2 linked regions of the Drosophila melanogaster genome follow. The protein of the gene in region 1 interacts with the protein of each later gene in a pairwise test. Each region holds a gene or a part of one and is shown on either strand. Other genes may lie near its edges. The genes, in order: Hr3 and e(y)3.

Evidence for each region.
Region 2: the proteins of Hr3 (region 1) and e(y)3 interact in a two-hybrid assay, tested with the Drosophila melanogaster proteins (one study listed by BioGRID).

The regions. Positions count from the first base shown.
Region 1 is NT_033778.4:10,227,496-10,243,841, forward strand, and holds the start of Hr3 (hormone receptor 3), read right to left. Parts: upstream 7,113-16,346; 5' UTR 6,718-7,112; coding exon of another isoform or gene 6,379-6,717; 5' UTR 5,817-6,378; coding exon of another isoform or gene 5,286-5,816; coding exon 4,529-5,285; intron 463-4,528; exon of another isoform or gene 1-462. Other genes in the region: CG12912 (uncharacterized protein), read right to left, coding at 6,379-6,717; Hdc (histidine decarboxylase), read left to right, coding at 13,602-13,629, 14,176-14,754, 14,976-15,085, 15,248-15,301, 15,659-16,346. UniProt on the Drosophila melanogaster protein: Putative receptor whose ligand is not yet known.
Region 2 is NC_004354.4:19,624,903-19,641,183, reverse strand, and holds e(y)3 (enhancer of yellow 3), read left to right. Parts: upstream 1-2,814; 5' UTR 2,815-3,811; exon of another isoform or gene 3,812-4,332; intron 4,333-4,714; 5' UTR 4,715-4,746; coding exon 4,747-7,050; intron 7,051-7,097; coding exon of another isoform or gene 7,098-7,112; coding exon 7,113-8,214; intron 8,215-8,260; coding exon 8,261-8,547; intron 8,548-10,117; coding exon 10,118-10,218; intron 10,219-10,283; coding exon 10,284-10,439; intron 10,440-10,497; coding exon 10,498-10,947; intron 10,948-11,034; coding exon 11,035-11,310; intron 11,311-11,370; coding exon 11,371-11,668; intron 11,669-11,823; coding exon 11,824-12,034; intron 12,035-12,092; coding exon 12,093-12,281; intron 12,282-12,420; coding exon 12,421-13,085; 3' UTR 13,086-13,217; downstream 13,218-16,281. Other genes in the region: Rcd-1 (required for cell differentiation 1), read right to left, coding at 714-882, 945-1,036, 1,094-1,288, 1,364-1,738, 1,791-1,874; CG14212 (uncharacterized protein), read right to left, coding at 14,658-15,446. UniProt on the Drosophila melanogaster protein: Essential transcription regulator during early development. Coactivates transcription of some euchromatin genes and repress transcription in of euchromatin genes translocated to heterochromatin.

The sequences.
Region 1 (16,346 bases):
TTTGAATGCACACGATATTGATTGATTGACTGGTACTGTATATAGCGATATATGTAGGCGTATCCTATGATTTTGTTTTGATCTGAAACCGAACAAACTTCATCTGCCGCCGCATGTTGCAAGGCCTTAATTTATCATATTTTACTATTATTTTTTTTAACACACTGGCACACACTCGCGCTTCGTAGTTTTGCCTTTTGAGTAAATTTGCTTTTTGTGGGCTTTTTTCCCGGCTGAGTGGGGGTGGTGAGGCGTTTTGGGGGATTTGGGGGGCAAAACGCATAGGCACACGCACACACACACGCACACGCACGGCGCACACACACGAGCGATGGGAAATGAAAACGGTACAGAGTATAAACAACAACAACAAATAATTAATAATAAAGATACAACGCGCCACGCATCGTAACCCGCCGCCGCGAAACGCTCAATACGAGGTGTAGCTGAAGAGTGCCGCAAAATGTTATCGACTGTTCGTTGTCGTCGTGCCGCGGCAGCGACGCCGGCGGCGCAGCAGCAGCGCCGCAATGCGGCAGCAGAGCTCGGGCTCCCCAAAAGCAAAAGAGCGGGAGACAGCGAGAGAGCGCAAGAGAGAGAAGTGGGTATATGTGTCTCTGTGCCGATGACTTCTTCAGTTCGCTGCCCCAAGCCCCCGCCCCGCTGCCACCATCACACCCACTTTTGCCTCGTCCGCTTTGTGCCGTTCATTCGCTATGGCAACCGCTCGGCGAAGAAAAGAGTCATAATCAGCTGTTATCTCTGCTCTCTCTCTTTTTACACCCCGTGGCTTTCTTCGTCTAAGAGAGAGGGTGGCAGAGAAAGAGAGGGAGCTTTTGGCGCTTCCTTCGATTAGCAGGTCAATTGCTTTTTAGGCCAAAATGTGTGCACTGCAGTTGCGAGCAATTTAATTGCATTTCTTACTTTTGCCCCGCCGACTGGCCAAATTGTTTCCCATCCTTTTTCGGGGCGGAAGTGGCAATTGCACCTAAATTATACCGCTTTAGTCCTGCCGACAAGCTTTTAATGATTGAAAAGGCTTGAGACTCTTAAGCTGCGCTGATACAATTATTTTATTAACTATGAATAAGTGGGCTTATACGTTTGAGGTTTTAAAATCATGTTAAGTGAGAGCTGTGTAAAAATATGTGATATTTGTTTTAATACGATCATTTCGCCATAAGGTAGGCACACGCTTTTCCATTAGGCCAGTGGCAATAGACGGTATCATATAGTCTTTTTTACTTATATTACTATTTTAGAGCTAAATTGCTACAAACTAAAAAGAATATTTTTATATTTTTCAACCTAATATATTGGCATGTTAATGTTGCAGTAATGCATAAATTAATTTATATTGAATGGTGCATCCGCTATAGGTTTCCTTCACTCAAGTATATTAATCTCTGATTCTGATTATAACGGACTAACTAGCATTAAAAATTCACACTTTTATAATAAAACTTGCAGTTCATAACATAGCACTGCAAACAATGCACGCGGGATTTCAGTTCTTAGACAATGAAGGCAAAAAAAACTGGGTTAAGTCCCAGAGTGATGAATTTTTTATGGATTTATTTTTATTAATTTTATAAATATTCAAGCCATTACGTGTGGCACAAACAAATTTAGAAATCCAAAAAATCACCGAACAGTCAAGGTGAACTGCACACGGAGTTTGTGCTGGCCAATTAAAAATGTTAAAATTAGTTTAAGTCATTTGGCAACTTGCTTTCGAAGTTTGCCAAAATGAAAAGCGAACCACAATATCAAAATAAAAAAGTAAATTTCCATGTAAATGTTGAAAACAAAAAAGAAAAAACATCGCTCAAGTTATAAATTAATATTTCGTTTACGATAATTTATGTATTTTCGTTGACGTCCAATACTAAAACCATTAGCTTTGCATCTCGCAGATACAAAGATACATGTGTGTGCGCATAATTGGAATTTCGCATAGACGGGAAAGAGATGAGCTGATTACGAAATCGCCGGGCAATATCGATGAAGTTTGGCAAAATCGAAAATATGATAATGAAACTTCGCCACGCTCGATTGAAGACGAAATCTCATGCGGCGCTGACCTGGCTAATAGCCACAGATCCAGGTCCAGACGACCAGGTCGGTCAATAAGCCGAAGATTCATGCATGAAATGCAAAGCGTTGTCCAACAAAATTATAATGAACCTGGCTCCGATTCATATGGGAAATTACAACAACAAACACCGCCAATATATGCCCCATCGCAAAAGTGATAGTGCGAAGCTATATATCTCGTAATCCGCCAGTTGCAACATCTACGACGACGGCGACAACGGCGCCGAACTGCCAAAGTCCATCGACCACGTTCAGGGTCGTCTCATCTGCAGAAAGGTTCGGATGAAGAAAACCTTTATGTTTTAGCTCTGCATTTTTTTTCTTTTTTTTTTACGCCAACTACCATTATGTGGGCTAATCATTGTCAAATCCGCTTGTGTTGGGGGGCTCTGAACGGGTTTTCAAAACCATTTGAATCATTTGGAAAATTTCACGTGATGGGTACTTTACAAATCGATAATTTCAAAAATTCCCTTGAAATGTACACTAATGTTTTAAAGATATTTCAAATATTAATTTGTGGGAAAAAGTTTACTATGAAATGTTGGTAATAACATGTCACTTTTCTAATAATATGATTGTAATATGTAAGATTAGAAATAGTTTTTAGGAAGTACAAAAAGTATAGGCGAACAAGTCGAAATCATCTAGAATTTTAGACATATAGGAATATTATATCCAAACCGATACAAATCCCGTTTCACCTCTAGTCAAAATAAAACTATAAAAGATTGTTCATTAGATTTGCAGATCGATCATTCAGCTTCTGGAATTGGGAGAGCAGTTAATCTCAGAAACAAATCGATTGATCTGTTCCTTGAACGTCATGTCTGTTCTAGCAGGTACAGCAATTAGGCAACAACGATTCATCGCCTCGATCATCAATCATGAGACTAGAAAATCCGACATATTTGGCCACCGCCCCAGCCCGCTAATGAGCCATGCAAGTGGATACGGCGGCCCCCAGCGCCAAGATATCAACAGAAAACTATAAAATATAGATCAATCTTGGCCAAAACTGTAGGGCTTCTGCATGAGAAGTCGTGTCAGTGGCTGACACTCATTTGTAGTCATCAAGTGAACCGAGTCGAGGGAGCAGACTCGAACTCGCTGGCCCGGGGCGCTGCCAAATCAATTTTTCAGCTTAGCCGCCCCGCGCCCTAAGCCCGTTCGCTGCTCGGCTGCTTACACTGAAAAAAAAAAACAAGGTAACCTTCAATAATAAAATGTCCTAAAGCAAAGCATAATGCATGAGCAGAAGATAGAACAAATTTAAATTATTTACACAAAGTGTTCTTATAGAGATTATTTTAGTTTCTAGACTGGACTAACACTTCAGCCCCTTTTTTTCAGTGTAAAAACGTTCATTCTGTTCTAGCCAGCTTGAGTTTCGCTCTCAGTCCGTTTGAGCCTTCATTCAGGTAACTGTATAGTTTGTAGTTGACGTTTTTACCGCTAAGGTTCGTGCTACGGTAAAAATATGAGGGGCCGAGCAGAAGAACGGTGGTGGCGTTTGCTGCTGTGCCGCAACAGCAGTAAAGCGAATATGCCGAGGCAGGGAGAATCGCAGAAACAGCTAACAGAACCTAATGATAAAGAACGCCATCTAGACTTGGCCAAAAGCTAGTCAGCCTAGCAGCGGCTTATTTAGTATGTCAAAACATGTTTTTGTTGCTGCCTTCTTACTGTATGTGTGTTGGTTGTTGCTGTTGCTGTTGCCGCTGTTTGTTGACTATGGAAAGTGGGCCACATGGCCGTAGCTGTTGGTGTTGCTGCTTTGCTGCGGCGGCTGCTGCTGCTGCTGCTGCAGCCACACAAAGGTGAATAGCCAATAAATCGAGGCTTGTAAATTGAAATTCTTTTTAGCACGGGGTGTGTACACCGTGCAATGTACACCCAGTGCACCTGTTGTTGCAGTTGCTGCTGCTAGTGTTGCTGCCGCTACTGCTGATGTGTTGCTGATGTGTCAGCCTGTTAATTGCCGCTGCCTGGGATGCTTGCGCAATGGGCGAGCGTTCATTTGCATAGCTCGGATTCTGGCGTGGAATGGGGAAGGGGGAAGGGGGAGGGGATCTGGGGGATATGGGTGCGATTATCTGAACCATCGCTGATCGTTGGTGGTCGCTCTGGGCGAGTGCTCACTGTGCTGTGGTTAGCCGGCGGTTGTTCGCAACAAGTGGAATTCTTGCCGAGTTTTCTGGGGTGCGAACTCATCACTCGCGGGAATCCTTGACTTAAGGTCTTTCAAATATTTGCTACAATCACTCACAATGGCTTAGTAAAATTCTTTAACGTTTGTTAAGAGCAAGAGTGACGAAGAACATTGCTTTTGCATATGAAGATATATTATTGGTAGATATATTATCGTCTCGAACAGTATATATATTCCCAAATTGACTAAAATATAATTGAGAGTTGCACTGGAACATACCTGTCATGGCTCCATTACTGCCGCTGCTGCTGCTGCTGTGCTCTCTGCTGTTTTCTCTGGCCGATGTTGCTGTTGCACTTGCTGTTGCTGCTGATGTTGCTGCGGCTGCAGATGTTGCTGATGTTGCTGTTGTTGTGGCAGCGGGCTTGTGAGTCGTGAGCGGTGGCATTGGTGGAGGAGTTCGCTCCTTTGTGCGTTTTAGGGAGCCCTCCTGGCTGGTATTGCTGGCCATGTTCTTGCACACGGAACTGATATTGCTGATGCTGCTAAAGCTGCTGAGACTGCTGAAGCTGCTGGAGCGTGCCAATGCCGGTGGATCCGATAGGAATTTCACCTGCTGCTGCTGCTGTTGCTGCTGCTGTTGTGGCCGCGACTGTGCTGGCCTGGTGGTCGCCAATCTCTTGGGCGCCGGAGGCTCTGGTTCAGTCTCATCCTCGGGCTCGCCCTCCGCCTTTAGCTCAGCCTCGAGCTCGTTTTCCAAGTCCGGCTGCACGGTGGCTATGATGGTGCCGTCCTCGTTGGCCTGCTCGAAGCAGACGTCCAGCAAGGTGGCTCCGCCACCGGCCTGTAGGCCGGCAATATCCTTGAGATCTATCCAACTGGCGCCCAGCTTATCAGCATCGCTGAGGGGCAAGCTCAGTACTCTCGTGTCGCCCTCGTCCACGATGTGGAAGGATTGCGTGGGCTCGATCTTGACGATGATGGGCTGGTTGGCCAGGATTTGGGCGGGTGGCGCACTGCCCAGCAAACTGGCCATGTTCTCCTCCTCCTCGTCGGCGGCCTCCAGTTCGCTGAGCTGCTGCTCGATCTGCAGGTAGGTATTACTGCTGGAGTTGGCTGCCACACCCGACTGCTGCTTCAGTACGTCCAGTTTGAGGACCGTGCACTTGTCGGTCTGCTGGTACTGGTGCTGCTGCTGGGGTCGTGGCAGCAGTGTCAGGGCGGGAGCACCCGATGTTCCAGAACCTTCCGTTATAAAGGCCAATGGTGGAGACGTGCCCGTGGATTTGGTGGACACACTCCGCGACGACTGGATCAGCTGGGGCAGTGCTGGCGGTGCTCCTCCACTGCCGCCAGTGCCAGAGGCACCGCTACCACTGCGTGCCACAATGGTGGTCGAGACGGGCAGCGGGATTATTGAGATGGAGGGCACCTTGCTGCGCAGATTGGCCACCGCCGCTGCTGTGGCGGCATCGGTGCCGATATACGTTGGACCACCGCTGGAGGATTTGCTGCCGCCGGCGGGCTTGGCCTGCTGTATCAGCAGGAGATCTCTGGGCCTATCCGTTGTGGCGGCCGTTTACTCACAAAGGCTCTCAAATGTCCGGATTTCGCCTTCGCTTAAAACACTAAACACTCACACTTTCACTTGGTTCATTGCTTGAATTTCTTGGGTTCTTTTATGCTTGTATTTGTTACTTGTTATATTTGGTTTTTTTTTTGGGTGTAGAAGCACAACATCGAAATAAATTGAAAATCAGCCTTACGAAAGTGCACTTAAAAAATTGTCGACTAAACAAGTTCATTCATACTGCATTGCCTCGATTGCTTGTCAATTGGTGTAGATACCCCAGAGGGGGTGGCCTAATGAGGGGCTGAGGGTTCGAAAAGGGGGGGGAGTGGGCTTTTAGGGGCGTAGTGGGGTCTGCAGATGCACCTGTGCGTTTCGTTTCGTTCGGTTCGTTTTTGGTTCGTTTTGCAGCTGGAAATACGCGTCGTATACTTAACGTAACTTTGTGCGATGCATAGAGTTCGACATTCCGATTAATGCTTTCCACTTGTGTTGGTTTTTGAGTAAATTTTGGGCTAGTCTTTTCGGTTTTGGGTTGTGTTTAACTTTACTTTACTGCCTAATATGCAGCAATTGTTGCTGTGCTTCGGTGACTGAGCCTGCTTCTGTATCTGTGTCCTCCGCGTTTGCCTGTGGTCGTTGTCATCCTCGTTTTCGTATCCTGCTGCTGCTGCTGTTGTTGCTGCTGTTGCTGTTGCTGCTGCTGCTGCTGCTGATGTTGCTGCTGCTGTTGCTGTTGCTGCTGCACATGCAACGCGTCGCCGCTGGATGGCTGCAAGGCTGCGCTGCAGCATTCGGTAGTGTCAGCGCCATTGGAACCCGACCACGTCAAAACAGTTGGAAGTGTGCCTCTGGATCTGGATGTGGATGTGCCAATGTTGCTGTTGATTTCCCACATCGCGGCACGCAACCCTATGCAACCACCACCCCAAGCACCACCTCCATCCTCACGGCAACAACAACCACCAGCTGTGTGGAAAGTGGCTTTAATAATCGATTTTTCAGCGGCACACTTGCGAATCAATATTTGGCAAACAGGAGCAGCGCTGCAGCTTTCCCTTTTCCTAATCGGATTTCTATCCCTTTAGCTTCGATATTAATTAAGCACTGTGTTCAATTTTGTTTCACTTTTGGCTGGTTTGTGGATTTCACTGTTTCAATATTTGTATTTTCACTTTCAGAGATTTGTGGCTAAATGCACCGCGCGCGTTTTTTTGTGACTCCTTTTTGTCGATTTTGCGAAGCAGCTGACCGGAGCTGCGTCCTTTACAGGAATGTGTCCCAAATTCGAGTGCCACAAACACAGTTCGTTCTGCCGCTGCACAAACTTTCCGTTTCGTGGGGGTTGCGCCTCAGTTTCTGGGAAAAGGAAAATCCGAGTGTGTGTGTGCGTGTGTATCCGCATGCAAGTTGAAAAATGGGACTCGCTGCGAACTGCTGCGAAAATAGGGTTAGTAGGCATAATGCCAAGTGCATAGCCAGGAAAAACTGGAAGCCACAACACGAAGGAAAACGAGCACAGTCGAACGAACGTTTGTTGCGCAGCTTTTCCACCCCTAAAACTCTCAGTGGGGGCGGGGGCGGGCTAAGGGCCAGGAAAATTCCCGTCGTGGTGATAAAGCGTCATGGGAAATTTCTGCACGCTCGAGGTGGAAATTCCAAGGGCGGAAAATTTTGAATGAGTCTTCTGGGCTTGACTTTCGACATTTACTCAACTAACAACTGAAACTGCCATTTATAATATTTGTAAAAATTCATAAAATTAGTTAATAAAAAATCAACTATGATATATATTTTTATATATACATGTTTAAAAAGAAACATATTTGGTAAACAAATATTTTCTTTTGTTATGCATTTAAATAGTGCATAAGATATGTAATTCATGGTTAACCCCTCGTTTATAAACCAAATTTGTAGAACACGGATAAACTATAGATGCAGTAGTAAGTCATTATATATACGAAGTCTTGTCTACTACAAGCTGTGTAAAGATAATATACATGTATTTATAATTATATAGTATGTATATAAAAAGCTTTAAAGTGTCATAAATAGTATGAACATTGGCACATATATATTTTTAAATGAGTCATAAAATGCGCATTTTTAGTGCTCTCAAAACTACAAGAATGCACTAAAATGTTAAGCTCGCTAATTAAAGCTGCCAATGCCAATTTGGGCAAAAACCAATCAAAGAACAGCTATGACCACAATGACCCTCGAGTCAAGAATGCCCAAAAAAAGGGGCGAACCGAGAACATCTCGGCCATTGGCCAACAGACGGGGCAAATTTGAACTAATCGCCCAACTGGGCCCCAGCCCAACCGATCGGATCGAGCCATCATTAGGGCGGGGAGGGGAGTGGGGGAATTGGGTGGCATAGGGCCAAACTTCTTATAGAGGAGGGTCGATGATGGCGAACGGAGCGACCACCGTTAGGACGGATTCGGATTCTGATTCGGAGCCAAGACTCAAGCATCGGCATTAATATTTCATGTTTTTCCGTTGCTTAAATCATGTTAGATTTATTCTGCGCCGCATTCAGCTGCCGCTTGCGCAACAACAATCAAGAGCTAACTGGTAACTGGTAACTGGTTGGTGGTTCTGCCAACCAGCTTACTAGCAGCTTGCAGCTAAACTTGGCTAAAACACCGTTGGTTCTAACGTGAACGCGAAATGTGTGCCTCACCGTTGTAAACTTCTTGCGGCGGCTGTTGCCTCATCATCTATTGCAAGTCTGTGCCGATTCTAACCTGTTTTCTCTGCAGAAACTCTCCGAAAAAGTCCCGTAAGAAAGTCCCAGTTATTCAAGAGGAAAAACCTGTTACACGCAACTGGCTCAGAGAGCTGATTGCCAAGAAAATGGAGACGGAGAAAAGCAAAGAACAGAACAGAATCAAAAAGAAGCCAGCGTATAGCCACAATAGCAGCAGAAACAGCAAACACGTTAGTACCGTTGCCTCGGATTCTTTGTTGCGCAACTGTGTTGCAAGATTAGCTGCGACTTCCAACTGGTTTATTGCAGCCCCACTGTCGATGAGGCAACAGTTGGCCGGGCCATTACTGTTGTTCTGCCTTGAAGATGTGGTAAAATCTTTTGGCTAGAATCGGAAATCCAACGGCGAGACTGGCGGAGGTGCTGCATTGCATGTCTTGCAGCTTGACTGCATATCCCATCCATTTGTTTGCGGCTATTGAAAGCCGTTGCCTTTTATAATCAATTAGGTTTTTTTTTTTAACTTTTCGCCAGCCTAATGATTCCAATAGTCGCCTATAGCCAGGCAAGGCTGATTTTTGAGGCGAAATATCACCAACCAACTATTTTGATTACCAGAGAAACTCTGTTTCAAAACTAGCAAACTCATAAGACCTTTAGCAAATCTATTACAATGCTTGAAAACAATTTATGGAATTATTTGTCATCGTGTTTGGTTCTAAAGAGAATTAAGACCCTATTCAAGTTATATTCTATATAAAATTATTTTTTTAATTCCCTCTTTGTTAAAATTTGATCCTTTTCAAAAGTATTATGTATTCCATTCCTTAATTATAAAATCATCTAGACATAAATCGATTTATTGTAAGAACTTAAATATATCCAATAGTTAATAAAGCTTAATATTTTAGGAATATCATAGCTACTCGTGGTCTTATGTTTAGTACTCCCCATTCTCACTAACCTCTGATGGTGCTGGGCATGTTATCCGGGTTAAGCAATCTCATCAATGGACATGGACTTTCGTTCAGACACCCAAATCGGATCAGATCAGTGTCAAGGCCTTGAACTCATCTCCCGGCCATGAGATCATAATAGCGATCGTAAAATCGGCGAATTAGTTCGAGTCCCAGTATTGTTCTCGGATCAAATAGTTTTCAAACGGCGAAGTTAGCCGGCGAAGGCGATGATGAAGCCGGCGGAGTGGAACGGATCAGAAAGGAGAGCAAGCGTAATCGGGACTGGTAGCGATCCGATGAGAGAGCCCGGAATCCGAGTGGACTGGACTGGACGTGGGGACAAACGATTGCACACTAAATGGCCAGAGACCGAGTCAAAGACCCGTTGCATCCGATGATCATGATCGCGCTCATCATCGTGGTCATCATCCTCTGCATCGGCGGTGGAATCATCATCCTCTGGCGGGAACCTGTGTGCGGAGGCGAGTGGGAAACCAAGCAAGCTCCAAAAAGAAACAGAAACAGAAGCTCAGCCGAGAAAGGAGAAAGGAGCTGCAAGATGTTCCCACCTCACACACGCACGCGCTCACCAACACACCTGCAGAAGGGGCGCTCACCACAATTCCTGCTAATTAAATGCGTGATCACTGCCCAAAAATAATCGCGCAGCAACCGAAAAGCTACAGTCCCGCCTTCCTACAAAGGATTTTATAGAAGTCATTCAATAAAAAGTACACCAAAGCAAAAAAAGATTTCTGACATTTAATCATTTTTAAAATTCGTCAAAATAATGATATATTTGCATGTGAAGTTTAAATAGGCTTATAGAAAAACCGATTAGCTTTTCTTTGAATAAAATTTTCCATGGTATCTTTTAAAAATAACAAAGTTTTAAAACCCCTACAGCATGAGAAGAGAAGATATAAAATACTATACTAAAATATCGATTTATGGAAGTTGGCCTGTATGGGCTGGTAACAAATACACATGCCAGCGGAGTCAAGCGTGCATTTCATCAGAGATGGGATGTCCGAAAGTCCGAGAGTCTGACTGTTATTCCCAATGATACACGTAGTGCTCGGTACGAAGAGTTGGGGACCGAAGCCCGTGACGTTGCTCGGCAAGTATCTGTGTATCTTTGGGGCCCGTCATCGGATCGCAGCGCGCTCAGTTGCACCTTTAATCGCTGAGCAAACAGGAAGACTTCTACGGCAAACACACACACATGCCCACTCGCACACACACTCGCGCTGTGGGATGAAAAGGGGAAAGGCGTAAGAGGGGAAAAACAGGTTGAGAAGTACCGCTAAGCAGAGGCCCCAACTTTCCGAGGTCAACGAACGTTCTTAGCGCTCAAGAATGAAGGAATCAAAACACACCAAAAAATACAGAGCGAAGAAAAGAGAGCGAGAGAGGTGCTGAGAGAGAGTAAAGAAAGCACAAAGAGAGAGAAAGCCAAGCGATCGACTTAAGAGCGCGACAGGTAAGCGCTGCAACCAAAACCAAGAGAGCCAATCCGAATACGAAGAGAAAGAAGACAGTATCTTTTATTGTGTTTTTGTATGCACATGCACTTTTGAAACGAATTTATCTGTTGCCCACAGCTAAATGAAAAAGCTCACAAATTGTGTATTTTTAGCCGCAGATTTAAAAGAACAAAAAGGGAGAGAGCGGAACAAAAGCCGCATTGTAACTGTCTGTCTCATGACCAAAAGAAACCGAAATTCTTATTCTTATTGCTCAATATTTGGTAATACACACTCATGGATACAGATATAGATACAACTACAGATACATGTGCATTCGACGTGCAAAAGCCATTCAATGTAGCGGTATTTTGTCGAAATTTCCTGAGTCTCGAGACGAGTACAAAGCTCATTGACCTCATGCTCTCCCTCTTTCTTTCTTCTCTCTTGTGCCTTCTGCCCCATTCCCTTGTAACAAGTGTGTAATGAGCGGGGAGGGGGGACTGATTTGCTGTTTCTGATATTTTTTGGCGTTTTAAGACGGGCTTCCAGCCAACATAAGATTCGAACATTTTCGGCTTTTATGCCTTCCTGTGCGACTCTTCATATTCTTCGTTTTCCCTGGGGAATTTCGTTTAAATCTGGCCAGATGGGGTATTTATCAGTAAGCCCACACAACTTAGAAAATGAGGGACGTATTTAGCTGGCAGCCTGTTGATGCCATTTGCGTCTACTGCAATCCGATTGGTCAGTGGATTTGTTTCCCTACCGAAGGACACCTCTTTCCATTGGCTGTTGCTTCCCCCTCTCTCTCTCCCACTCTCTTTCATCCTGCGTCGTGCTCAATGTCCTTTTGTATTTAAACCGCCTGTTGCCGATTTATATGCTCTTTCTCTTTGAAAGGAAGTATTCGTAACCAAAAAGATAACACATTCATAAAAATGTTGATAACTACACGTAATACTTTTAAGCTCTTGACGTTTTGTGACTCATTGCCTCTATATTTCATAATGAATAAGAAAAATTACATTAAATTATCAATTTATTTTTAAAAGTTATTCATTTTAAGAAGCCCGAATTTTAAATAAATATATACTTATATAATAATATATATATTAGAAATAATAAAACTTATAAAATAATAAATATATAATCATTACAGTAAAGACTTTTAGGAAGACATCCTAGAAGAGTATTCAAAGTTGTGCACCAATGCAAACGCTTTGCTCTAAGCTTATTGTTGTCATCACCCATTTTAGGAAAATAGCCATCCTGCTGTTTAATAGCAATTTCATTTGGATAGTCCTTCGTTTTTGCATCGGAGAACAAACAGTATCCGGGTATAAATAGGTCCTGTTTGAGTCCGATTCCATTCAGTTGGACTTTGATTCGAGTCCTGTGCGTGTCAAATTGAAATCTATTGTAATTGTGCGTATATAACTTGGTAGTAAAATATTCCCGAAATATATAAAAAATTTTGAAATACTATAATTATTGTCCAGAAGATTTTTAAATAAGTGTTTGAAGAAAGTGTTTAGCTTAATCTCAATATATTTATTATAATAAAATTATTTTAAGTATATAAATAAAAACTAATATCTGCTGTAAATGATTAATAGCCATATAAAATGTAACCAGATTATCTTGTAGTTGTTTGAATTTTCTGTGATAATTTCTAATGAATGCTAACATATTTTTTAAATTCCCTCGTTATTTACAAATGCTTAAAAAGCCACAATGTTGCTGTTCTATGACTATCAACATTATTTGTGAAACGGCAAATATTTAATTCGATTTCGATCGATGAATTTCAGTTCATGTTTCCATCGTTCTAAATGCATGACAAAATGCAGTTGGAGTATGGGTGCACACACTGCAGATCGTTACAGATATAGTTAATTTGCGGTATTTAAAATATAATCAAGCAATGCAAGTCAGCAAGCATAAACAATTAGAGGGTGCTTTCCAATTTAAACGGAATTTTGTTGGAAATCAGCTGGCAATCCGAGCGCATCCCCCTTGGTTACACCCCTAATGTCGTGCTGCCTATGGGATGGCCAATTAGGGAGCTCCGTGTGTTCCAACAACTTGCCAACACATCCCACAGCCAGATCGGATTTGTAGTGCAGCCAACAAGCTAATTGGTTCCGGCCAGGTCTATAAAAGCCCGGCGCTATCCCAAAAGCCCTAGTTATAGGATAAATATTATCACGGCCGCAATTAGGTAACCATCCATCGGATTCGAACCCTTCCAGTGCCCGAGGTGCACCAACTAGGTGTTTTCACAGCTGTTAGCGTTTTCATAGCTTTTCCAAGCGCTTTTCTTGTCATTTCCATTTCCAGCGAACGCCAGAAGCCCCACAACATCGGAAGTGCACAAGTTTCTATTCCATTATATTGTTCTCCGTTGTTTTTTTTTTACTATTTCCCACCAGCGGTCAGACGGTTGACGTTCCCAATTCGGCATTTCAATTTGGCATACGTCCCCGAAAAATGGAGCTAGCCTAGCCAGAGTCCAACAGGATTAGGCCAAACTCATTGCGAAACGAAACGCCTGAAGATACATCTACAAGCCGTGATTGCGTGCGACAATTGCACAGTATTTACGTCAGCATCGGTTAAGTGAGGCGATTGCACCATGGACTTCAAGGAATACCGCCAAAGGGGTGAGTACTGTCCAAATCTGGGCCATAAAATGCACAGCGGCAGACGCGTGTAAGTAAATACCGGATGGAAATCCCATCCAAAGGTCACCACCATATACAATATATTTGATTGGCCCAAGGCGGATTTGTCCCGGCCGTTTGTCTTCGTTCCATGGCCTGTAATTGAAATCCCACACACGGAGAAAATCCCAGCAATGCAGTATCATATTTTCAAATCAATTTTCATTGACATTTTCGAGCTTACATGGCTGCTTTTGTTTAAAGCGTGTGGCAATTATTTATTAGATACTTTAGCTGAACAACTAAATAATTGCAATTGTAAGTTAATTACACACACGTGGTTAACATAATCTACGAATTGTTAGTATATTACATCTATATCCCTTTTGGTTTTATTAACACTTTAACACCTTTCCTAGTCATTAATAATTGTGTACTTTTATTCTAATTAAAATAATTAAATATTTTAAAAAATATTCTATATTAATTAGGGACAAAGACTAAGCAAAATCGCTTGAACTGTATTAAAGTACATTTTATTTACAGGCAAGGAGATGGTCGACTATATTGCAGACTATTTGGAGAACATCCGGGAACGCCGAGTTTTTCCGGATGTCAGTCCGGGCTATATGCGCCAGTTACTGCCGGAGTCCGCTCCGATCGAAGGTGAACCGTGGCCGAAAATATTCTCGGATGTGGAGCGAATCGTGATGCCGGGCATAACCCACTGGCAATCGCCCCACATGCACGCCTACTTTCCGGCCCTCAACTCCATGCCTTCCCTACTGGGCGACATGCTGGCGGATGCGATTAACTGCCTGGGATTCACCTGGGCGAGCTCGCCGGCCTGCACCGAGCTGGAGATCATAGTGATGAACTGGCTGGGCAAGATGATCGGTCTGCCGGATGCCTTTCTCCACCTGAGCTCCCAAAGTCAGGGCGGTGGAGTGCTGCAGACCACTGCCAGTGAAGCTACTCTAGTTTGTCTGCTGGCGGGACGGACTCGGGCTATTCAGCGATTCCATGAGCGACATCCTGGCTATCAGGATGCGGAGATCAACGCCCGGCTGGTGGCCTACTGCTCCGATCAGGCGCACTCCAGTGTGGAGAAGGCGGCGCTCATTGGTGGGTTTAATCTAACTAACTTTATAGTTATTGATTGTTAGGTGATCCTTTAGTTTGATTACATTCCCTTATAGAGAAAACCATTTACACTAATACACCGAAATACGTATGATCCACATTTGCAACTATTCTATCTCTTGGTCGGCACGCTCGACCATAGCCAACTTCATTGTTTAAGCCGCTTACAGTTTAAGCCACACTCCCACTCTTTTGCTCCGCAGGACTCGTGAGGATGCGTTACATCGAGGCGGATGATGACCTGGCGATGCGCGGCAAACTGTTGCGCGAGGCCATCGAGGATGACATTAAGCAGGGCCTGGTCCCCTTCTGGGTGAGTGGCAGTCTGTCAAAATTAATTGGCTCGCCTTCCGCAGCCAGCTGATTCCCCATTCTTGATTCCTAACTCCCAACTGGAAACGCCAGATTCACGACTCCCACTGGAGCCAATTAATACATGTCAGCATTTAAGTGTCCTGCGGTGGTTTATTTTTAGGTCTGCGCCACACTCGGGACCACCGGCAGCTGCAGCTTCGATAACCTGGAGGAGGTGGGTGCTTAGGGAATAATTACAAGAAAATAGGAATAATCCAATGGCCTAAATTAAGTGGCCTCGAAACATCTGCCAGTGATAAACAAAGCTATAATTTATATAAAGGATAATATATTGTTCCACTAGTTTATTGTACAAAGCTTAAAGTAAATCGTTTTGAAGAGGCCATTTTTTTAGTAGGGAATAACAAGGATACTCCTTTAAAGGTCATATACTTCGTTTGTTCGTAACAAAAGTATTTTAAAGTGATTGAATTGAATTTAAATGAATTTAATAGTTAACAAATTGAAGTAATTAACTATTATTACGCATAGTTTTGGCCCAAAATAAATAATTTAACATTTGTTCTCTTAGATTGGCATCGTTTGTGCGGAGCACCACCTGTGGCTCCACGTGGACGCCGCGTACGCCGGCAGCGCCTTCATCTGCCCGGAGTTTCGCACCTGGCTGCGTGGCATTGAGCGGGCGGATTCGATAGCCTTCAATCCGTCAAAGTGGCTGATGGTGCACTTCGATGCGACCGCATTGTGGGTACGGGATAGCACCGCCGTCCACAGGACCTTCAATGTGGAGCCGCTGTATCTGCAGCACGAGAATTCCGGAGTGGCAGTGGACTTTATGCACTGGCAGATACCGCTGAGTCGCCGATTCCGTGCCCTGAAGGTGTGGTTCGTCCTGCGATCCTACGGGATCAAAGGCCTACAGCGCCACATTCGCGAAGGCGTTCGATTGGCTCAGAAATTCGAGGCCCTCGTTCTGGCCGATCATCGTTTCGAGCTGCCCGCTAAAAGGCATCTTGGCCTGGTGGTATTCCGGATACGCGGCGATAATGAGATCACCGAGAAGCTGCTGAAGAGGCTGAATCACCGAGGCAACCTTCATTGCATCCCATCGTCGCTGAAGGGACAGTATGTCATCCGGTTCACCATCACATCGACGCACACGACCTTGGACGATATTGTCAAGGATTGGATGGAGATCCGTCAGGTGGCCTCCACTGTGCTGGAGGAGATGAACATCACAATTTCAAATCGCGTCTATC
Region 2 (16,281 bases), on another chromosome or scaffold:
CCGCTGCACTACCTTTTTTTCCTGGGTTGGGCTGGGCTGGTCTGGAGCACTGGGTGCTCTTGGTGCACACCACGCGACCTAGAGCGGGACAGCAGCATGCCAGCTGCGTGGCCAGGAGCGGGACGGGGATAGCAGCAGATGCGCTTTCTGCGCAATTTTCTCGACTTTTGTTTACACACCTCGCAGGATGAGCCATTTGCATTCAGTAGAGTGATTGATTGTGATGGTCAGAACTTACATATGTATATAGAACCTATAAGATTCGTTCGGGGACACCCCCTACTATCAAATATACACAGCAAATAGCAAATATAGCAAATCCGGACAGTAGCCCAAAAGTATGCAGCGAAAAGATGATTATGAACTTTTGCGGGATTGTTAATATCCTCTGTTAGAATATTGATATTAAAAAAAAAAACAAACACGCATAAATATTTATATCGTATCGTCTGCTCGAGGTTCTTTATTGGGTGTCAGTGACAATCTTAGTATTAACATTAATTTATTTGTAATTTATGTAGGTATATTACAGCTCCGCTTAAGTCGACACAGGCAATCTCGTGCACGCTTATGAAATATGTATGTATGTATGTATGCATGTTTATGTATATTCGGTCGAGCAGCTATGTAATTAACAGCGTGGATTATTCATCATCGATGGTTGGACGTTAGAATTGATAATATAGTGCTGGGTGTGCTGTCGCTTCCACTCCCTAGGAGCCCAGTGGCGACATGCCGATCTGCTGCGGAGTGGCGCCGAGTTCCAGGTTCTTGAGCAGCATCTGCAGCCACTGCTTGGTCGACTTGTCCTCTTGCAGGCACAGCGCAAAGGTGCCGTCACGCAGCTGATCGGGCAGACACTGTCCCAGGGCCTTGCGAGCGCTGAAAGAGTCAAGGCTAGACTGAAAAGCCGAGCGATAATTTACTCGCCCGCCAAGACTTACCGTGTATTGTCCGAAAGACGCAGATAGCAGCGCACCACATGCTTCAACAGCCGGGCGCATGGATCCTTCGCCAGCTGGATGACCATTTTGCCCTGAAATCGATAAAGACCCTTAGACAATGCATAAGGCTTCGGGAAACGGACACTCACCAGGGTGATGGCCACGTGCGAAAAGCGTTCGTAGGTCTGGCAGATGTACGACAGACCCGACTCATCGAGCAGGATCTTCTGGATGATGAAAGTGGCCACAGTCTTGCTCAGCTCCGATCCGCTGTCCATGATGCTCAGACAAAGGGGCACGATCTCGGTGGTCAGCAGAAAGGTGATCACCTCCTGTTCGTCGGTCTGTCGATAGCAGTAATAAGAAGACAACAAGTGCATTAGTGCATTAGATGACCACTGGCCTTCGGCTTAACCTACCTTGACCAGAGCACCAATCACGCCCAAACTGGTCAGGCGCAAGTACTCGAAGGGCCTGGTCTTGGACGTGGTCGACAAGAAAGGGTACAAGTACAGCGGTATCTGGGCCTGCAGGAAGGCCGTGCGAGTCTCCGGGTGCGAGGCGACGCACTGCAGCAGCGCCAGGGCGTTGCACACGCGGTTCGACTGGTGGGCCGTCAAAGTGGGCGGCGTTATCGATGGGTAGATGTTAACAATCTCCTGCAACAGGGCGCAGGCGGTCCCGAAGCTGTTCCACAGCATGGGGGCCAGGTCCGTCTCACGCTTCTTGCTTAGCTCGAGCAGAGCGGTTTCACGCGTGTCCGGATGGGCCAGCTCATTGATCCACTGGTACACCTGGCGGGCGATAAGTTAAAGCTAGCACGCGTTCTTGCCGACATCGGCTTACCTTCTCCTGCTCGGTCTGCTGCTGCTGCTGTTGCTGCTGCTGCTGCTGCTGAGGATTCATATGCGGACTCGGTTGAGCACTCATCGTGTTAACTTGACAAGATCTGGGTAAGAACTGTCGCCGGACGCTTGCAATGCACTTAGTGTCGGCGAGAACTCGCTGAACGGAACGGGACCTGCGAAAAGGAAGAGGTGGATTCCTATCGCCGGACGCTTAGATCGGGCGAGAGTTCGCTGAACGGAATGGGGCCTGCGAAAAGGAAGAGGTGGAACTAGCGATTTGTCGTCGATTTCTATAGCCGGACGCTTGCAATAGACTTAGCTCGGGCGAGAATTCGCTGAACGGAACGGGGCCTGCGAAAAAGGAAGAGGTAAAACTGGCGATTTGGCGTCTATTGCGATTATCGATAACGTTAGCAGGAAATTCCTTTTGCATTGGTTTAAGTCTAAAATGATCGAAAACAAGTGGCGACAACCAGGATTATGTTGTGTGCCGAACAGTGTGGCCAGAACCGCGCAAATGCCGCTGGAAATTGGTGAAACGCAAGCGCGCTATTTGTTTTCCAGCGTCGATGTAAATATGTACATAAATTTAAATTTTCAGAGAAACTTCCCGCCGTACGAAAACACAAAGTCTGAATGAAATCAAACATGATTTGCCAAATACAACTGCTTGCGCATGCTTTGTTGGTGCAAAATGCAAAAGTCTACAATTTTGAAGAAAATAGGCTTGATATCTTTGAAAAAGGATGACATTGCAAAGAAATAATGAATGGACGTGAGCGCGTGATTGCGAATGACCGATGATTACATTGATCAAAAGTAATAACCATAATGGGTATTTTAATTAGGTTATAGTTCATAATTTGCATGCTAAAAGCTAAAAATGCAATTTAGTAAAGACGCATTTAGCGGTAGTCAAGTGCACCGACTGGTTTGTATCCCGGCTATCCCCGTCGATTTTGTGGTATTTCTTAGCACATTCCCCGCCAGCCGGGTATCTAGCTGACAGCCGCAAAACGGCCACACTGATTTTCATTTGTCGTGACGAGTACCTCGGAATCGAAAAGAAAAAAACATAAGCAGACAGGCGAAACAGAGCATTCCGTTCAATAATGAATGCATAAGAACGTTCGACGCGCGCCGAGAACCAGTCTGCATACGAGTCGTGCGTGCGGCCAGCGTGTTGGATATATTTTTTTGAGGTTTGCGCCAGTTTCCAATGCACTCTCGTGTCGCCCTGCCTTCTGTACCATCGAATTTGAATCGTTAAAAGTGCGTGGAAAAGTGTACGAATCGAAACCAATACACGGAAAGTGGGACAACGGCGACTGAGAGAGCTCGTTGCGCTTGTCTCTGTGTCGCTGCCTTTGTGTGCGTACGACTGAGCGTGTGTGTGTGTGTGCCGTTCTGTTGCTGTTGTGTGTGTGTGTGTGCATGCGTGTGCACCGCCGATGTGTGCGTGCGAGTAGTGCCTACTGCGGCCGAGAGTCGAGTGTTGCCCGTGCTTCGAAATCGCATTGAATCGTATGGAAAAATGTGTTTTACTTCTCGCCCAACAACGCCGAACGCCTAAAAAAGAAAATTGCCGCACGGCGTCGCGCAGCATCAATCAAAGTGCATAGAAATATGAGCATGCCAATGCCAGCAAAGGCAAAGGCAAACGAAATAGCAAATCCAAATCGCAATCGCGAATTGTGCACGCAAATCAAAAGCAGGCGCTCTTCTACTCCACCATCTTCTTTTGTCTGTCTCTGAGCGACGACTTTGCCGCATGGTGAGTTTGCCGTTTGCTTGTCGTTGCTGCTTCTTCTTTGCCCCGTTCGTTATTGTTGTTGTCGTTGGTATTGGTAGTGGTAGTGGTTGTAGTGGTGGTGTTGGGTCAGGGCTTTGGCGGCGGCGTCGTTGTTGCTAATTTTGTTGCCAGTGCACTGGCTGTCGATATTGCGCTCTAAAATCGTGCTCACAATAATATTAGTCCTAGTGCAGATAGATAGATGCTTGCATTTGGCCAGTAGAAATGTAAGCATACATATACGCAGGCCAGGGCAACCAACCCATATGAGTGTGTGCGTGTCGTGCTCCTTCGTATGTGTGTGTGTGTGTGTGGATTTTCTCCATGCAGCGGCATCGACTGCTTGTGGTGGATTTGGCCGCCAGCGTGGTGAATTCGCGTCAGTGTTGCCAGCACACACCAGTAACAAACAGGCCATAATTCGTGGCGGCGCGGCTTTCTCAGTATTTGCCTATCCCGCTGCTTCGCTGCGCTCCTCTGCGCTCAACGCCATAGCCATTCCGCTTCATCCTCATCTTCCTCCTGCCTTTTCACGTTCTCCCCCAGTCGACAGCTGTGTGCGCATGTTTGCAGCGCTTATTATTTATTAAGTGTTGTTGTTGTTGCCCTCGCCGTGGTTCTTCTTGTGTTTATTTCGCTTGAAGTTTTTCGCGGCAATTTCGAGCGGTAGTTTTTCAGCGCCGGAAAATCGTATTGCATTTTCATCGGAATTTTCGGCTGGCGACTGTTTAAACCTGCGCGTCCTTCGGTATTTACAAATACGGTTTAATTGTTTAGACATGTGCTATAATTAGTTCGTAACTCTACCCGGCTTTCATTCAATTTTATTCTTTCATTGGGCTCCAATAAGTGTGTATGTACAAATGTACATATATGTATGTATGTATGTATGAGTGTATTTGTGGGTGTGTGTGTCTGTAGGTCGTTCCCCTTTTCAAATTGTCTCTTTTTAGTGTAAACAAAATGCATCCCTTGGAGCGGCAATTATACGCATTATTATATGCTGTATTGGCGGTTTTCTTTAGGATTGATTTCACATGCAAATTTAAGAATTAGTTGTTGAAAGTCCCGAATCTTATCGACTGCTATCATGCACCCTGATCTAAAGTATCGTCCACTTCTTTTTGCAGGCTGGCGGCCCACTGGACAATCGAATATAGCAATGAATGATTTACGTCAGCAGCAGATGGTAGCAGCGACATCGTCATCAGGATCGGAATCGGGAACAGCGGTAGAATCGGCAGCCGCCACGTCCACAGCAGGATCAGCCGGAGCAGCAGGTCGCCCCCAGTCTAACTGTAGCGCTAATAGCAACGCCAAGTCAGTGGCAGCGAGCAGCACGAGCGAGGAGGAGCAGCGAGTTAGCTCCACGTCGTCGCCAGCCCAGCGGGATCAGCAGCTGAATGCAGATCGGGACCGGGAACAGGAGCCAGAGCCACAGCAGCAGCAGCAGCGGGAGGAGGCACTGCAGCACCAGCATAATCAGCCCGGCCATATAACCAGCACCACAGCGTCGCCTCCGCCGACGCTGCCACCGCCGACGACGCCGTGCGACGATGCCCCAAGCACAACTGGAGCATCTGCATCGGCCAGCTCAGCATCCGGAGAAGCACCATCAGCAGCATCAGCAGCGGGAGCAGCAGGTGGACCGATGGCCGCTACGGCGCTTGAGGTAGAGAGCGAGGAGCGGGATGGACATAAGATCATCCTGAAGCTCTCCAAGCACGCCAATCCCAACTCAAACGCAAATGAATCTCAGCCGGGCGGAGATGAGAGGCGCGTGGAGCCCCTGCGCATTCAGCTGCCCTGCGGCGGAGCGGAAGGAGGCTTGGTTGCGAAGCAGCAAGATGCCTTCGATGCGGACGCCTCTTCCTGCTCCTCGTCGTGCGCCGAGGACGAGGTGGCTACCACCCTCGGCCAACAACTACGAAACACCCCGCACATTGTGCCAAAGCTGACCATCCGCGCCGCGAACGAGAGGCGCGTAGGCAGCGTGGTGCCTAAGCTGACCATCAAGTTGCCTGAGAATCCGGCTGCTTCCGGCTCCAACTCCAACTCTGGATCGTGCTCAGCAGCTGTGAGTGGCGCCCAGTCAGCTATGCCCGCCAAGAACGATGCCCACCTGTCCAGCCTCTCGCCCGCATCCGCCTCGTCTTCATCTGCCTCGTCCTCCTCCTCATCGTCGTCGTCGTCCTCACTGGCGGAGATGCAGACGGTGCCCAAGCTGATGATCAAGACAACGCTAGCCGGTAGTAGCTGCATCAGCAGCAGTGAGGAGCTTCCGCAGCAGCAGCAGCAGATACCAAAGTTAACAATCAAGACAGGTGGCGGCGGTCAGGAGCACGTGCACACGGTCATAATGACGCACGACCTAAACAACGCCCAGAGCATCCCCAAACTCACCATTAAAACCAAATCCATAGAGATGATCGAGGACGAACAGGCGGCTAAGCTGGAGCAGCAATTGCAGCCGCTGCCCAAGCTGACCATCAAGAACTTATGCTCACCGAAGCACAAGGTGCGTGCAGTGCTCGAGGAGAAGCCACCAACGGCGGCCTCCAAGCTGGCTATCCCAAAACCCACGCCCAATCCCACGCCGGCTCCCATGACGAATGGCGGCGAGTCGAACAGCAGTAGTCAGGAATTCTGCGGCTTCTCCGACCCAGACGCAGATATAGCTGCGCCAGCCTCGGACGACGTTCGCCGCAATTCGGACGACATGGTGATCGACGATTCGCTCTCCAAGGAGCACGATCCCAAGATTTTTCACAATCTACCGCCCATGCCCGCCAGCAACGGCATAGCCAGCGGTGGGAGTAAGGCCAGTAAAGCCAGCAAGTCTGCCCAATCCCAGCACAACGTTGTGGACATGGTGGACCTGACCTCGTCACCGTCGCCGGGCTCTTCGCCAACGCATGTGCCTAACAACTTCACGGGACGCATTTCGCCGAAAGGGTTGCTCATCGACTGCCTGCGGATGCAAACTGCGATCGGCTGTTATGTGCCCGAGGAGGCCGACAGTCGCGTTAGGCCAGCTGCGTCGCCCAATTCGAACATATTGCTTAGCCAGCTGACGGCACCGGCTAAAAGCTTCACAACGACCACGCCTAAAAGCAAATCCAGCAAGTATCCCCAGCTAACGGAGCGCCTGATGGCGAATGGAAGCGGTACCGGTGGGGGATCTGTTATTGCTGCAGAAAGCGAGGCAGTCGTTGGTCCCTTGCCCGCCGCGAATCCCGCCCAATCCATAATCGAGTCCATTGAAATCCTGGACACGCCTGATGGCAGCCCGAGGGTAGCCTACATGGACGAGGATTCTAACCCGATGCTCAACAAACATCTCCAAACTATTCACAAGCTCGCAATGGATCACGGAGTGGAACAGCGTATGGATACCCAGGACAACAACAACGAGAACCACTTGAAACGCACTAACAGCGAGGGAAACGAATCTCCCAGCAGTAGAGTACGTTGTCGCTTATTTATTTATAACCAATTGTACCGTGACAGTAGTTTTTCTTTTCGCAGCTCCCTCCCAGCAAACAGCGACGTCTGGACAACGACGAGAACGACCAGCAGACGCAGAATTGCCACGATCCCGCCAGAAAGTGCAGTGAATCACTGCAGGCGCTTCCGCCGTCACATCGCTCGCGCAAGCAGAAGCACGAGCGAATCCTGAACACAGATCTGGAGGGTTCGCTTTTTCCACCCACCCAACAGCAGTCGATTTCAACGCCGGATCAAAATGGAGCCTTGTCCTCGGAGGTCGAAGGCGAGGACGCAAAGGCGCAAGATCCGCTAGAACCGGCGACGCCTCAGCCCCCACCGGTAGCGACGCCGGCAGGAACGGGCAAGAAGCGTGGGCGGCCGAAGCGTATCCAAAACCAGAGCTCGCCGGATGGTGGAGGTGCAGTTACTCCCAAACCCGGCACTCCACAGGAGGAGGCCAACAGCGCTGTCAAGTCGCGTCGCGTACAACTGCTGCGCAAGCGACTGGCCATCGACATGGTGAGCGTGGGCCAAGAGCAGGCGGACATGAAAGCTAAGGAAAAGGAGTCGTCTGTGGGCGTGCCAAATGCAAGAGTTGAAGACGGGCTTGCCGAAACTCTGGAATCTCCAAAGACTCGCGACCATCGCCCCCTGAGAGCCACGCGCCGCACCACGACCAGCACAAACACCAACCTGCAGCCCACGCCCAAGTCCACAAGGAAGCGCCAGAGCAAGGCCAGTGTCCAACAAAGCCAGTTGCCGCCGCCGACGATGGCTCAGTTCGGTAGTTCGGAGTCCGAGTCCAACAACAACAATAATAGCAGCATATCCTTTGCCCTGAGCGCGCAGATCGACCTCACAATGTGCTCGTCCAGTTCGTCGACCTCCTCTGGCGCTGCCGCCAACCAGCAGGTGATCGGTGGAAGTGGCAGCAGCTCGATGCTACCTCCGACGACGATTCTGTCTTCTTCGGATCCGCTGCCCGATGTCATCTTCCAGCCAAATGACTTCTCCTCTATCATGGCCACCCAGCAGCTGCGCTCCTCGCGCCCCTCAAGCATCAGCTGTGGCAGTACCGGCGGTAGCCAGCCGGACTGTCACGACGAGGACAACTACACCAGCGCGCTGGACAATTCCGGAGGTAAGAAAGTTTTGTTAAATCCTTTAAAACTTCAAGTAACCAAAAGTAAACTCTTCCTCTTCAGACGAAACTGCGTTGCCTATGCCCCCCACGCGGGGACGTGGTCGTGGCCGGCGATCCAGGGGAGGCCGCGGTAGAGGATCTTCTTCGGTGGATCGGGCTGTCAGCGTCGGAGGCACAGCCTCCACAACGCCCGCCACGCAGCCTAGGGCCCCGCGAATGAGCCGAGGAGCAAGTGCCGTAGCAAAGGCCATCGCCATGAGTCGACCACGATGCGTGGGCGGCCTCAAGCACCAGCCCGATCCCGAGAGACTTAAAGGCTTGTTCAGTCCGGTAAGTGGTCTTCGTTTATGCTTGGTAAAGGTAATCGTTATGCTTATGGTAAAGTAAACATTGTTATATTAAGTGGGATCAAGTTGCGTATGTTTTTGTTAATTTTGCAAAACTACTTAGCAATTCGCCAAAGCCATTTGATGAGTGCTTAGCTTTAGGGATTTTCATTTCTCTAAAAATGGGTGCGAATATGAATAGCCTAGGAAGGAGCGTATTTTATATACTTTAGTAAAACATTTATATATATATTTGCAACATATTTAGTTATGTTAATGGGGGGCAACTGGAATTAGGACCTAACTGGTTCCACTTGTTTCGAAAACTGCAAATAATACCACACTTATTCTCTCATAACCAAGTATCGAGAGCGACTCGTCGAAAAGTGGCGCGAATATTTAGAAGACGGCGACTAGTTGGCTAAACTAAAAATATAATAAATGCGCCAAACTTTGTCGCTGGATAAGAGAATCGTAGATCCTTGAATTGGAGTCACCTTTTGAAATGGGGCTGTTTGCATGTTATTTTAAACTAACGAGACCGAGCAGCAGTAACGAGTGATGGTGCGGCTCGAGATCTCGTTAGTTCTCGCAGTAACGGACATCGGATATGGGGCATCGTGTTGAAGATGGTCAGTACAGTTAGGGCTTCTACCGGGCTTTACAATTTGTATTACATTGCCTTCTTGTTTATGTTTCATTACGTAAATCTTGCCCACTTACCCAAACTCTCACACACACTGAGGGCTAACGTGTCGTAATTAAAAAAAGGCGCGCGCCATGTCGCGAATTCATTGCCAACGGCCTAGTGTAAGTGCACAGCCAACAACAACAATAAAGCCAAGCGAGCCGCTGCTGCATTAGCTATTGGGGGCGTGTGGCGTGCCGGTTAAGGGGGGGAGCGGCGAAGGAAGCAGCTGCGAACTGAGCAGCGCAGCCGCTGTGATTGTTGTTGGCTTCACCTGCGATTTTAATCAGCTGAAGTTTTTGTTTGGCTCTCGCCAATCGCACGTGTGTGTGTTTGTGTCTTTGCATGTGTGTGGGTAAATGAGCTGACAGTAGTCCACCTTCACCACACCTGCTGCTGCTGCACTCGCTCTCACTCTCGATTGCTCTCTTGCCCACTCTCTCAGCGGGGCTTTGAATGTGAACTTCGTTGAGAGCTGGCAACTCTGCGCTCGCCGTTTTCGCTGCTGCACGTTTAAACATGTGCAAAGAGCAATGGCTTCCAAAAATTGCAAGGATAAATAATTATGCGCACATGTGTACATATGTACGCATGTATGCATGTTGAGCAATTACCCTGTGTTTACAAATGGTTAGTTTTTACTTCGTAGGGTTTCAGGGTTTCCTTCTGCTATTGGCAATTCTAAGTAAAAGTAAGTTAAGTACCAATCGTATAATTATTCCTACCGTTCTATGAGAATGAACTGTTATGTCCTAGACTACGAATTGAAATATGTATGTATATGTATGTACATACATACATATATACATATATAAGGTATACGTTAGATCGCAATGTCCTTTGAATTCATGATTCCTAATTACCTACCGCCCTAATTCTTCTTTAGTCGCCGCAAGTGTTTGAGGAGGACACGCGTATGAGCGCCGATCTTAGCAACAGCAATCAGTCGATGGCCAGCCTGATGGAACCCCCGCTAACGCCACAGAAGTGAGTCTTCCATGTGTTCATTTCCACTGTAAATTGTAATTAATAAATTCTTTTCTCGTCTGCAGGCAACCCGACTTCCTCAACAACGAGGAGTCACAGTCGTCCATGGTGAGCAATGTGAGCATGATGGACTCCAACCAGGGTCAGTCCGCCGACGCGATTCTGGGTTCTGCTCTCAAACGTCCAAAGAAGAAGAAGATGGAAACTTGCGTGGCCGAAGAGTAAGTGCATTCTAACGAACTCATAACGTAGCAGGTCTAAGACTTTATTGAATTGCAGCACCGACTACAGCGCCTCCAGCATCGCCGAGTACGACTGGCCACCGCCTAAAGGTTGCTGCCCATCAAAGAATCGGGACACCTTCATGATTCAAGAGCAGGTGGCGCTCTATCTGGGCATTACCAGCTTTAAGCGCAAGTACCCGGATCTGCCACGCCGATCGGTCGACATGGAGGAGCGCAATTGGCTGCAGGAGAAGGGGCTGGTTAGCGAGAAGTTGTGCGACCTGGGCATCACCGCTGTGTGGGCCTCCGACATATTGGACATCATGTACGCGGACTTTTTCGACAAGTACGAAGAGTACAAGGAGTACATTCGCAGAAAGCATTTGCGCGAGATCGAGGCTAAGCAGAAGGCCCTAGGACTCACAGTCGGGGCCGGACGAGGTCTGCAAGCTCGCGACCGTGCCATGCTTTCGGCCACCAAGTGGAACGCTTACTTCAACAAGTCGTGAGTTACTTTCTATACTTTCTAGCAGTTGCATTTGGTAAATGAGCAGCTTCCTAATGCTAATGCCTTCTAATCTCTTGTATGCAGCCGTAAGGATGAGCGCCAGTCCTGCATGGACCTGCAGACCTTCACGATAAATCAGCCGCAGCCAAGGACCGCGCCCACCTGTACACGCCTAGAGCGCTCCACTTCGGATTTGATACGGGCAGTGGCAGAAGAGGCGAATATCCCGGCACCGCCTAATCTCCTGCCACCCCGCGACTATGACGAGGCCTTCCGCAACTCAGACTACGCTTATCCACTCACGGTGGTACCGGACCAGTTCTCAATGGCCTACCGCCAGTTTGAGCCCGCCGAGCTCAGGTAAGACGCAGTCGTGGTGTCTCTATTATTTTCACTGTCACTAACAATTCACTTTTACAGAGCCTACCCACTGGACACGGCGCTGGACAAGCCGCCGACCGATCTGATGGCTCAGCTGCTACAGGCAAAATCCGAAGCTGTAGGCAGCGATGAAATCAAAACGTCCGCCCCGGCCCCCAAGGATCTGGGGCAAGAGCAGTCCGCCATCAAATCCGTAACGGTAACGGCGCCCGTCCGACGCAGCAGAAGGTCCACACGCCAGCAGACGGACAAGGTTCGCACGGCTAGCAGCTCCAGCACGTCCTCCGCTCAATCGGTCTCATCCGCGTCCAGCGGCAACGGGAGCAGCAGTGATACGGTAATTTGAGCGATTTGGATAGAGATACATTCATTCGATTTGATGAAATACATTGAATTGAGTTAAATTGAATCACATTTGGTTCACTGGTGTCTGCATTCTGATAACTATGGGCTTCAGTTGAAATAATCGCCAACAATTCTTATGCATTTTAGGAAAGCGGCGATGAAAGCGACTTTAGCAGCACATCGAGCTGCAGCAGTTCGACGGGTGCCTCAAGTGGAGCAGGCAGCGAGGACGAGGATGGGAACGAGTGCTCATCGTCGGTCAGGCTGTCCACCTGCGGCGTCTGTCTGCGCAGTCAGCATCGCAATGCTAGGGACATGCCGGAGGCTTTCATCCGCTGTTACACATGCCGAAAGCGCGGTAAGTAGTCCCCCATACTTTGCTCCGCTTCCGTCCTAAAATCAGTGCCATCCCACAGTCCATCCCAGCTGCGTTGATATGCCACCGCGCATGGTGGGTCGCGTGAGGAACTACAATTGGCAGTGCGCCGGGTGCAAATGCTGCATCAAGTGCCGTAGCAGCCAACGTCCAGGAAAGATGCTCTATTGCGAGCAGTGCGACCGAGGCTACCACATCTACTGCTTGGGCCTCAGGACAGTCCCAGATGGTAAGTACTTCGTGGCTTGTCTATAAAGCCATTTGGAGAGTTAGTTGCTCATGGATAACATACATAAATTGTTCGATTGAATGATTTGAAATATACAGACTAGATTACTTAACAAACATCCCTCTTACAAAACTTACAGGGCGCTGGAGCTGTGAGCGCTGCTGTTTCTGCATGCGATGCGGGGCCACCAAGCCGGAGGGTCTGCCCCAGGTGGCCGCTCTGTCCCAGGCGTCCGGAGGACCGTCGGCCAACGGGGATCGCTCAAAGGCAGCGCGCAATAAGCGCTTGAAATGGGTGCACGAGTACCGCATCGATCATGTGACGAAGATCCGGGAGCACGCCGCCATGTTCTGCGTACCATGTGCGCGAAACAAGCCCGCCAAGCGGCAGTCGGCGGCGGGTGCGGCCGGTGCGGCAGCAGTTACTCCTGTCTTGGAGGCCACTTCCGCGCAAACGGATGACAGTCCGATGCCCAGTCCCGGCCTGACAACCAACGGAGGACGCGCCCTTTCGCCAACGGCGGCACTGAGTCCAAAGGCAGCTGTGCCCGTGGCATCGCTGCCGCCCGTTCTTGAAGCGACGACGGTGACCACAAATATTGCGGGAACGATAGGCAGACGGCAGGCGGGTAATGCTGTCAATATTACAACGATGCAGTGCAGCAGCAGCAGCAGCAGCAACTTCAGCGGGAACGGAGTCACCGAGGACGCGGCGAATGTCACTGCAACGGGAACGGCTACGGCGGCCGCAGGAGCACCCGCTGCCACTCCAATAGGCATAGCTCCGCCGCCCGTTGTTGCCTGAGTGGGGGTCATACGTTATTGTGCCAAGCGTACTCTAACGGACTTATAGTAAGCGCCGGACGCGCCGCCCCTTTTACCAAGCCGCCTCCAAAGTGGTCGTAACCACAGAGCACAGCCGCCATCCCAAAAAAAGAAAATAAGAAAAAAAAAACCACACACAGATGCATAGTATTAATGAATGCGACAAGGGGAAGAGAATGGATTAAGAGTGGAGAGAGTATTTAAGGTTTTTTTTTTACTACGATTATTCTTTATTTGTCAGTACTGCATTGTATTGATTGTGTTTTATACATATATACATATAAATATTCCTATTATAGTTATGTTACTTAACTTTGCTAATGTTAACAACCAAACGACCGCATAAACACACACAAACACACACACACACATGACACGCACCCCGAACACCAAGTAGACCACGTTATGCTTAAGACTTTTTTAACGCCTAAGTTGAATAGCCTAGCACTAAGTCACAACTTCATTTGTTTCTAGTGAATTCATTTGACGCATTTTAGTTCAATTGCGCGCAATCGCCCACGCAAAAACAGATTTGTACACTTGCGTTTTTAACCGAGGAAAGAGTGCTGTCTGTCCAGCTGTCCAGCTGTCCTGGCCGTGCGGCTTTGTTCGTTTGTATTCCCGTGTCCTTGGAGGCTTGGTCCACCCGCTGGGTTGGGTCTTGTCCACGTCTGTAGGTAGGGCTAGCTGTTTCGTGTTACCGTTTGCTTTTGAATCGAAATAGTGTCTATTTCTATTTCTCAGCCAAGTCTAAGTCTAAGCCGCCACCGTGCGCACTGTGCATCTGTATTTTCTATAGACATTATATTTGATTTTAAACGTCTTATGCGCCGAATTTTTGAACATGTATGTATATGTGTGTATTTATAAGAACCACGCCCTCTAGCCCATGTAAGTAGTTAAGCACAGCCTAAGTAGTGTCTTCATGTGCGGTAGCTGCTTGTCCTTTTTTTTTTCGATTCGTTTAGTTTAGATTCGGTAGATTCGTAAGCGGGGTAGGGACTTGGCTCGGCGGTGGATCGAGGATCGGGGAGCCGGGTGCCGCTCTGCAATCGTATGGCTAAGAATGTATTATAAATGTAATTTATGCTAACACATAACCCAACAACAAACGGACCCACACACCACACACACACACAAACAAACATATATATTTATATATACATATATATATATATATATATATATATAGATATACTAGCTGTAGCTATAAGATTAAAGCACAAGAACAGATACAGATGTGGCTAGCGAGGATTAGGTAGGAGGAAGTGGAAGTGTGGAAGAACCATGTGTGAAATATTGTTAGGCAACAGTTCTAATACCGCCGCAGGATAGGTAGCTCTAAGTTTTCGATCTACTTAAGACAGAGTGGATCCACAGACGGGCCCAGCTGCAAACCTCGGCTGGAGAGAGCTGGGTAATCCACTTTATGCGAAAAGTAAATCTTAAGTCCTTCATATTAAGTGGAATTATTCTTATGTATACATACTGAAAGATTTATTTTTAAGTCGAATAAAACAGCAGCATTAATAACCTGGCCTTACCACAAACTCTACGCCACGATTTTGGGCATCAGGAGCTCCTCCAGCTCGTGGCCGTCGCGCCATGTGAGCACGGAGCAGGCCAGTTCCTGGCCATGGGCGGTCATCTTACCGTGCAGCTCGAATCCGCGCCGGATGCAGGCGACATCCTTTTGCCGCAGCCGCTTAATGGCGCACAGATCGTTGCAACTATCGCCCACATAGATCAAGCGCTCGTATCGCCCGCTGCACGTCAGCTCGTCCATCACGGAGCCCTTGCACATGTTGGAGGGGCAGAGATCGCAGTCAGTCTGCTCTTGGTAGGGCAGCACCAGCAGTTCGCCGCTCGCTTGGACGCATGCGGGATTGGTGAACACGCCGCCGGCAAAGAGGCACTCAATGGCGTACGCCTGCAGCCACTCGCCGATGAAGAAGGAGTTGGCGTCGCTGACGATGCACAGTTCGAGCTCAGGGATCCTGGCTAATTGGCGCATCACCCGCAGCATTCCAGGCACGGCTGTGAGACTGCGCACACGCTTGCCCACCGACGCGGAGTTCACCTTGTGCTCGCCATGCAGGCGCTGCAACACTTGGCTTATGAAGCTCAGCCAGCCGCACTTGGGGATCTGGTCCTGCAGCTCCTTGCGCTGACTGGTCGGCAGTAGTTGGCTCACCGCCAAATAGGAGTCCTGCTCAACGATGGTCCTGTCGAAGTCGATGGCGACTAGGGTGCGCGGTCCAGGCGAACTGGATGCGCTCAGACCGCGTCCGAAGGGCGAAAGGCAACGGCTCAACCGGAGGCTTCTCGAAATTGCAAACATTTTGGTGTGGAAAACAAACAATTTGACTTTAATATCAATGCACACACTCGTTTAAACAGTACAGTAGATATGGGTGAACAAAGCACATCAATATCGATAAGGTAGCGCCAATATCCGAAGGTGCACGAAGTCCCATGGAAGCTGGGGGGGATCTTCGTTCCATCGACCATGCGACCGACGTGTCCGTTTGGCCGACAATGTTGTAATTATAATATAATGTGTGTATTATATGTATGTATATCGCATAAGTTTTAGATATTGTCATTGAAAAATGTTGTTTCGTTTTCCGTTGCATAAAATATTTTCCAAAAAGGTTTAAATATCTAAAATACATTCATAGTTTGTGTGTGTGTGTGTGTGTTGGTAACATGCAAAAAGCTATGCAAATGCATATGGAACAGCAAAGATCAATATACATACTTGTATGGCTTCCAACAAATATGGGTGCACTATATCGCACGTACATAAGTAAGTGTATAATTTAGCTACATGGGCGAATTCATTGGCTAACTATATAAAATGAAACAATATACCATATACCACTACTGGAAACAATCAACGTATCTCTTTCAGCTTTTGGGGATTCACATATCAATGTTGCGATCGGATGAGATACTCTGTGATTATTTCTTATTCTTAAGAATTGAGTAAATATTTACTGACTGACCAAATGGAATCCGAAGTTAGTTTGTGATTAAATTACGTTTGCTTCGCGCGGAAGTTTTGATATTGTAAACCTGGCAATCAGTTTATATCCGATACGAGATCGGATTCCCAAGAGGGAACTAACTAAGCTAACTGCTTGCGTTTCAAAAATCTCAGCTTGGTGGAGGAG